2 linked regions of the Xenopus tropicalis genome follow. The protein of the gene in region 2 purifies or fractionates together with the protein of the main gene of each other region. This does not show direct contact. Links are inferred from orthologs where the notes say so. Each region holds a gene or a part of one and is shown on either strand. Other genes may lie near its edges.

Region 1 (3,657 bases), about 32 Mb from region 2:
CAGGTCACATGAAGTGGTTCTTAGATTAATCCAAAATCATAAGGGACATCTTATGAGTCCAAAGATTTTATTGGCCATTAGTAAGTTTAAAAGTTAGTCTTTGGTAAGTTTAAAAGTTAGTCTTGATAATTAATCAGATTACACAATGGTTTGTATGGCATAAGCCTTATTGAAAACAACACACCGGATGATAGTAAAGCTGGCCATACACCCACCATAATAATCATGTGAAACAAAGTTTTGTACAATTTTTGGACCGTTTGGGGCCCTGAATTATCGGCCTGACAATTTTTGTACCATGACAATCGGTCATTTAGTTGATCAAACAGGTTATGTCGGAAAATTATCATTTTTTTGATGACTGTATCCATTGGTGACCTACAATGTATTTCCGGGACATAACTTTGGCGTGATTGTTGTCTGGCAATTAATGGCCAAAGCATTGTCAGATTAGTTATTTTTAGGATTTTAATGCAACAATTTCTGTCTGGATGTTAGTTTTAGATCATTGCATTAAAATGTACAATCTGGACATGTATGGCTTAACAGTAAATTGCTAACCAACTCAAGGCCATTCAGGTGCTTTATATATTCTGTTAGTGTACACAGTTTATTAAAAAAATGAACACAAAGTAGCATATTTTACTATAAGTAATTCTAGAGCAACTGGACTTGTTGAGTAATCATTGAAGACTGAAGTTGAACTAAAGAAGCTGCTTGATGAGTAGTGAAATGTCTTCAATAATTACTCAACAAGTCCAGTTGCTTTATATTTACTAATACTAGATATACCATGACCTGGATGAATAAAAACCTTCATAGTCATAGCATATTTTAGCTGTTTTTTTAACATTTTGACTTGTGTACTTATTTTTCATATAAATTCATTGCAGACCACAAAAAAGCTGAGAAGAGAAACCAGACAGACAAAAAAGACCTGTCTTCTGACGGTATAGTATTTATCTGTTACGATCTTGACATATTATATGTTTCTGTTATGGCATCTATTTAAACACAGTGTTAATCATTGCACAGCATGAGGATAAGGATACATTTAAAAATTACTTATTTTCAAATAAGTAATTTTCCTATAATCATGTGGATTAATACCCACAATCTGTCCTAACCAAAAGGGAGAACATGTTTTTTACAAAAAGCATCAGTTAATTGCGGTCCTCCAGTAGAAACATGTACCGAAATCTGTTTTTCACACTTGTTTTAATATGAAATTTGACATGAGGCTAACCATTGTGTTAGTGCCCTCAGCCATCTGAGTTGTGCTCTAATAAACTTCAGTATCTCTTTACTGCTACATATTGCATGTTAAGGTGGCCATACATGGGCAGATTTCAGCTGCCAATATTGGTCCTTCAGACATTTGGCTGCTTATCTGCCTGTGTATCGGCACCTCTGATGGGCCTACCCGACCGATATCTGGTCTAAAATTGGCTAGATCTCAATCGGACAGGTTTGATTTTACCATTGGATCAGGGACTACATTGACTCGTTGATCTGGTCCGGCATTTTCATTTTATAAAAGGGCCTATTTCATTTTATAAAAGATGATTCACTCATCAAATGTGTGGCCACTTTAAGAGTGATATCGCCCCCCCATATCAAGAGAACAATGGGGAAGTAATAAGATAACAGTTCACTGACACCTCTGCTGAAGGAAGAACTGATAGCACATCCATGTTTCTTTGCTACTGTCACTGCTTTACTTTGGGCTAATAGCTCTGCTGGTAGAGAAGCTGACACATGGGGCAATGTGCAAAACTACCAATACTGCCCTTTCATTCACTTTAGTTTGATGGCACACTGGGAGAAAGTTGCCCACAGGAAATCTGCTCTACCCATCTCCCCATTATGCAGGGGGTTTATCAGTGCACTGGTAGATTTAATTATGTACCTCACAAGAACCAAACATGAAGTTTTAGTTTTCCTGTTTGACCTGTTTAGCTCAAGAAATAAAAAATACCATACATTTTTTATGATTAATATAATAAGCAAAATTTTTTGCACAAACCTTATTTATTGCACTCATGTAGAACAAAGGGGTTTACTGTCTCTTTTAAACCCCCTTCTGCCTCCAGACCCAGAAGTGCTGCAGAATGTAGAATCTACAGTTGGTATCACTTTAGTACTTAGTACATAGTCTACAGTCTGTGACTGTTAAACAGATGTGTATGAAAGTTATAAAACACAGCAACATAAAACACAGCTATAGTTTCTCTCTAATGATACCTAATATTGTTATTGCAAATAACTTATATATTTGTATTTTTCTTTTGCAGACACGTCATGGTTTTCCAGCGTAATTAAAAACATTTTCCTTATTGTCACACTGGCAGTTGCTGTATTTTTGGCTGCCCAGTATAGCCAGTATGGCGCTTCCAGGAGTAGGAATAATAGTAATGTCCTACAACAGTTCCAGAATCACTTTAATGCACTGAAGTCATCTTATGCTAGTCAGTCTGAAGATCTATGGAAAAGAAGTAGGCGTTCTTTAGAGCTACACCTTAATAAGTCCGAGGCCAACACACAGCCTGCCATCATTTTGCTGACTGCAGCCCGTGATGGAAAGAATATACTTCAGTGCTTAAGCAACCAACTGGCAAGGGTGTATTCGGCCTCTCGTAACAACAGCTATATGGTTATTTCAGGTGCAAACAAAACTTTCCATAACAGTGAGAGTGCTAAACTGGCAATAGATAATATTTTAACTGCTGGCTTCCAAGATACATCTTCAGCAGCAGTTCTGCACCAGATTGAATCATTGCACCCTGGTGCACTTCTCATTCTGTACAAATATTGTGACCATGAGAATGCTGCCTTCAAAAATGTGGCACTAGTATTGACTGTGCTTCTCGAAGATTCAGAACTGGAACCACAACTGTCTCTTACGGAAATTGAGGAAAAAGTCAGAGATTTTATAAATGAGAAGATGGTTTCTTCAAAGAACGCAGAATCACACAGTGAGATGGATGTTGACAAACTAAGTGGCGTGTGGAGTCGAATCTCTCACACAGTGCTCCCTGTTTACCCAGAGGATAACTTTGCAGACTGTGGGGGAACAGAGCAGGGGTTATGAAAGAATAAGTCTATGTTTTACTGGACTATATGTGCTTCTATTATTTATCTTTGCCTGTAAATTTTGTAACTGCTAATTTACATCCTTCATTCCGTCTTTCAGATTATTTGAAGGTTTAGGCCATGGGCACACAGAACGTTTCCTCCACTTCTCTCAGGCAGTGGGAGCTCCCTCATGCAGTACCATTTATCTCCACTGAAAAGTACAGCTTCTGAATGCATGCAGTACACAGAGCAGAAGACGGCTCAAAAATGCCTGCTTTCGCTCTGTGTAGCTGCTCTGAGGAGAAAGCTGTCCTGTCAGTGCAGCTACACAGAGCTGCATAAGGAAGCAGATCCGCTTCTCTCAGCCTGCAGGAAAAACCCAGTCTGACAGAAGTGGAGGAAACACTGTGTGTACCTGGGGCCTAAGGCTGTACATAGGCATTCATAAATGTAAGCCAAACATCAGCCGACAAAATCTTGCACATTAAAACAAGTGCTTGCAGGCAGTATCCATATGCATCATTATGATCATTATGGTTTTCAGTGATTTGGTGACACGTTTCCTGTATGCCATAGCCCTAA
Region 2 (4,321 bases):
GTGCTTAGAGTTATTCGCTGACACTGCATGCTCAGTTAATCTAGTTTGGATCCACAGCCTTTCCACATTTAACTGTTTGGAACCATCGGCCACCTGTATGAGAACCACATCCAGATACTGAATAGAAACAAGAGGCAGCAAATAATAAAAGAATACACTGAGCTTGAGTGCTGTATTGTTATGGACTTTATAAAGGTTGGGGGAAAACAAAAACAACCAAATGAATGCTTTAGAAAAAAATGGCAGTAGATCTGTGGGTGTCAGCCCCCAAAGCAATTATACTGGAGAATCAGAATTCAATATCATGTACAATAGTATTCATTGCCTAAAAGACAAAACATGATTGGCCAACAATCCCTATTAGTGAAAATAGCATTAAAAAAAATCAGCAAGTGAAGGGCTAGTTTAACATTCATGGTTTAAAATGGAGACAACAATAGAATTCTAAGGTAATTGGTAGTTTTATAAGTATTAATTAAAACATAACCTTTTTTTTCCTTCTTTGAGACTATATTGATGAATCATGTGAAGCAATAACAATAACTTTGTGAATATGATCAAGTAAAATCATGTACCTCTCTGAAATAATCAAGTTACTCTTCACTAACCTCCTTTTAGCAATCTGTCTCTACATGCAGCTTTGTGTCCGAGTTGGTTATTTTGAAGGAAAGTTAGCTTTATACACTGTCAAGGCAAAGGGAAATATTTGACCTATCGACCAAAATGTGACTGACCCTTGTCTGAATAAAGACAGATTGCTGAGGGGGAGAGTGAACAGTAACTTTTCAGATACAGTACATTATTTTAATTGATTATATCCATCAAGTTCCTTATTTTTCTTGTGATACCTCCCCTTAAAGACCAGCATTGATTATTTGCAGTATGTTATTTGCCTGCTGTTTGCTCTTAAGATGCTGCAGTTCACTCTCCGGCCAGCTGAGGGAGCTAGCACCCCACCACATTACTTTAAACTTCATACTCTGACAAAAATAGGCAATAACAACCTGAAGCCACTGCAGTGCTTCAATATACAAGTGATTAAGACATAATACTTTTTTAAGTATGCCAGTAAATCACTCGTTGTTTAACATTGATAACTACAGTGTGACTTTGCCTTTAATATGTTGATCTGTAGGCATGAAGTAGACCCCAAGAGTGTTGGAGCCAGCACAGCATAAGTATGAGCAGCGTAAGCATGACCGATAGCCCATAAAAAACAATAAAAGAATTAAACGCCCATTCATCTCTAAAGAATGACATGGAAATCTAATACAAACTGATTTCCATAAGACAATATTTTTTTTATACCACTGTTGCACTCATGATGTAGCTCCCATCAGAAATGATGGCGATTTATGTGAAAAGTCTTAAAGCTTCTAAAATTATCTTTTGCACCTATGACCTTGCAGTTGTTGTAGAACAAAGACTCAGCTGATGTAAAGTGCAGGCAACACACTACTATCTATAGCTCAAGCATTATTACACAGCTCACACTCTGGCTCTTACTGACCATGGTCCTCATAAGGGTCATTTGGATCATCTGCGATCAGCTCGGCGCTACTGGGAGTTTCATGGTCCTCCTTGGTTACAAAAATGATTTTGTCCTTTCCTGAAACGTACATGAGAAACAATTAGGCTTTAGAATCACAACAATCCATTCTATTTGGGAACTGTAAATTAAAATAGTTACTATGCTATGATATCTGCACATTGTTTGGTATTAGGAAATTAAAGTTGCTTTGTAAGTTGCTGCAGGAAGGCAAGTGTTTATGTGCTAAAATATCTAGCAATGGTATTCTTGCCATTGTACTAATGAAATAAATGCAGGGTTACAGTAAATACCATATAAAAAAGTTTAATTGCCTTCAAAAATGAACACAGACCAATCAGTATAACACAACTGCAGTCTATTATTTGACATTTCAGCAATAATTGGTTTGATATAAATATATATATTGTACAAATACATAGAATAGCAATCACACTTTTACATTGAATATTACAATGCCCATACCTGGTGCACTCTAACCTTCCAGTTTGTGCCTGTATGTTAGATTGTAAGCTCTACGGAGCAGGGACCTCCTTCCTACTGTGTCTCATACCACATGGCACTTATTCCCTGTGCATTTATATATATTTATTGTATTTATTTATTATATCACTTGTCCTCCCTGTGTGTAATTCTGTATATTGTAAGATTGTACAGCGCTGCATACCCTTGTGGCGCTTTATAAATAAAGTTATACATACATACATAGACATAAACCCTTTGCCCTGATTTTAGAAGCAGAATTCTGCAATAAATAACACATGCTTTATACAATTAAAAGGGATCTATATCCAAATAGAAAGCTAATGTATGCCTATGCCATGCCTTCATAGTTAAACTGCCCCCTGGGTTGCTGACATTGATCTAATGAGCCCAGACGTAGAGAAAATGACTGTTAAATGCTAAAGAGTTCAGAGGAGGACCCTGGGTAAGTTTCCAGTAATCCATTTCCTTGGGTTTAGATCCCCACTAAGAGGCTCAAACAGACATAAGTTCCCAATGACCTTGCAAATAGCGAACTCATTGCAGGCAGCAGAGAGCCTTAGCAGGGGATACTGTCCCTTTAAGGAACTCCGAGGCCAGGTTTTCCCTTGTATAACCCTCAGGGTTCGGTTCCATGCCCAGCCCCTGTGTCCCTGTGCCCTCTGTCACTTTGTGCGGCCTCTCTCCCCTCCAGTTCTCCTTACTGCCAGGCTGCCCCCATTGCAGCTCTTCTCTGGCCCAGTCCCCCTGTGACACAGGCAGCTCGGCTCCCACCCCGTACCCCGGGCACATTCCCACTCACCTTCCTGCCTGCAGTAGGACATGGCTGCAGCTCCACAACACGGCGCCCGGCACAGCACCGCCTGCGCACACCAATCACGTCACACTGCGCGACTCACACAGAGGACCCCGCACATAGGCCTGCCCTCCTAGCTGCCTGACAGTAATTCATAACCTCCACCCTCACCAATTCCACCCTAGTCTCCATGCGTAGTATAGCTCATAGGATATTACTGACAATAAGCGCCACTGAATAGAACCAGGGAGGCGTTAAAAACTACATTTCCCGTGACACTGCGCGGAAGGCCAGCTACGCATGCGCAGAATGTACTGACGTGTCAGGGAGGCAACTTTGTAGCAAGAAGTTCTGGTAGGAGATAAAGTAGAGAGCGTCTGCGGAAAAGTTTATCATCCTAAGGCAGCCAGGATGAAGGGACATGTAAGTGACTTTCATTTCCATATACATCCTGTAACATTACTGTAATAGTAACCCCAAGGTGCCACCATATGTTTTATAGTGTGAAACAAATGCAGTAATAACTGTAGGGCTAAAAAATTGTGTTAATGCCAATTAAGACTCCTAGCCTATTGCACATTGTTCTCATCACATTATCCTTTTATTTATTATTATTATTATTATTATTAATAACATTTATTTACGTTTCCCTTTTTCCCTTTCCCTTTCCCCCTGGTTCATGATGTTGAAAAAAAAAAAATCTTGTAAACATTATAAGTAAAGCTCAGTATTGGTATTGTACTAATGCTAGATTTTGATGCAATCTTGAAAACTTAAATAAAGAGTTTAAAAAAAGTTTGTTAATGTCCAGCACTTCATAGTGCTTGCGCCCCTAACGTACTTTATTAAGCAGACTCTAGTCTACACTAAAAAAAATGGCTTTTCTTGCAGGGTAAGGAACAAGTTCCCCCGCTGCAAAGTTCATGTAGGAGATACTATATAATTCAGTAAAATAGCTTCCAACATAAACAGCTGATGTCCCTCTATAATAAGCAGGGCATATTAATAGTTAAAATGAATAATTAATGTGCTAATAAGTCAGTCAGCTCATTGGGGGCAGTGGAATTTACCTTAAGTTTTTTAATTCATTGGTGGTCAATTGAGTTTGTCTCTGCCCCTGGGAAACAATCTCCCGGGTTTGACAGCTCTGAATATGACACATTTTGTGTCCTGGACTGGCAATTTGTCCATTCTGGCCAATGCCAAAGGGCTGCTGTAAGATGCCATTGATAGTCACTATTAATTGGGCTTGTACTTCAAATCACCTGTACTGACCAATTATGAACTGAGAGCACAAAATGTGCTGCATGGCATGTATTGTTGATTAAAGCACGTATACTACTATGTCTGAGCAATTTCTTTACAAAGTTAATGTTTGGTTACGCCGAGCTTGTGTACTATGCTGAAACATATTTGAATATAAATGCAGCTATGCAGGTAGAAGGCCTCAGAACAGCGCATAATCAGGTTTAAATAAATATTTATAGAAAAAT

What was found. Proteins that work in one complex are often made in the same cells at the same time.
Region 1: the proteins of chchd4 (region 2) and tor1aip1 purify together in Homo sapiens (co-immunoprecipitation; 3 studies listed by BioGRID and IntAct, with this or other methods). This does not show direct contact. The link is inferred for Xenopus tropicalis from reciprocal best matches to the Homo sapiens genes CHCHD4 and TOR1AIP1.

What each region holds. Positions count from the first base shown.
Region 1 is NC_030680.2:101,235,417-101,239,073, reverse strand, and holds part of tor1aip1 (torsin-1A-interacting protein 1), read left to right. Parts: intron 1-893; coding exon 894-950; intron 951-2,294; coding exon 2,295-3,091; 3' UTR 3,092-3,657. UniProt on the Homo sapiens protein: Required for nuclear membrane integrity. Induces TOR1A and TOR1B ATPase activity and is required for their location on the nuclear membrane. Binds to A- and B-type lamins. Possible role in membrane attachment and assembly of the nuclear lamina.
Region 2 is NC_030680.2:132,948,651-132,952,971, reverse strand, and holds the start of chchd4 (mitochondrial intermembrane space import and assembly protein 40), read right to left. Parts: upstream 2,914-4,321; 5' UTR 2,857-2,913; coding exon 2,835-2,856; intron 1,610-2,834; coding exon 1,511-1,609; intron 1-1,510. Other genes in the region: tmem43 (transmembrane protein 43), read left to right, coding at 3,240-3,251.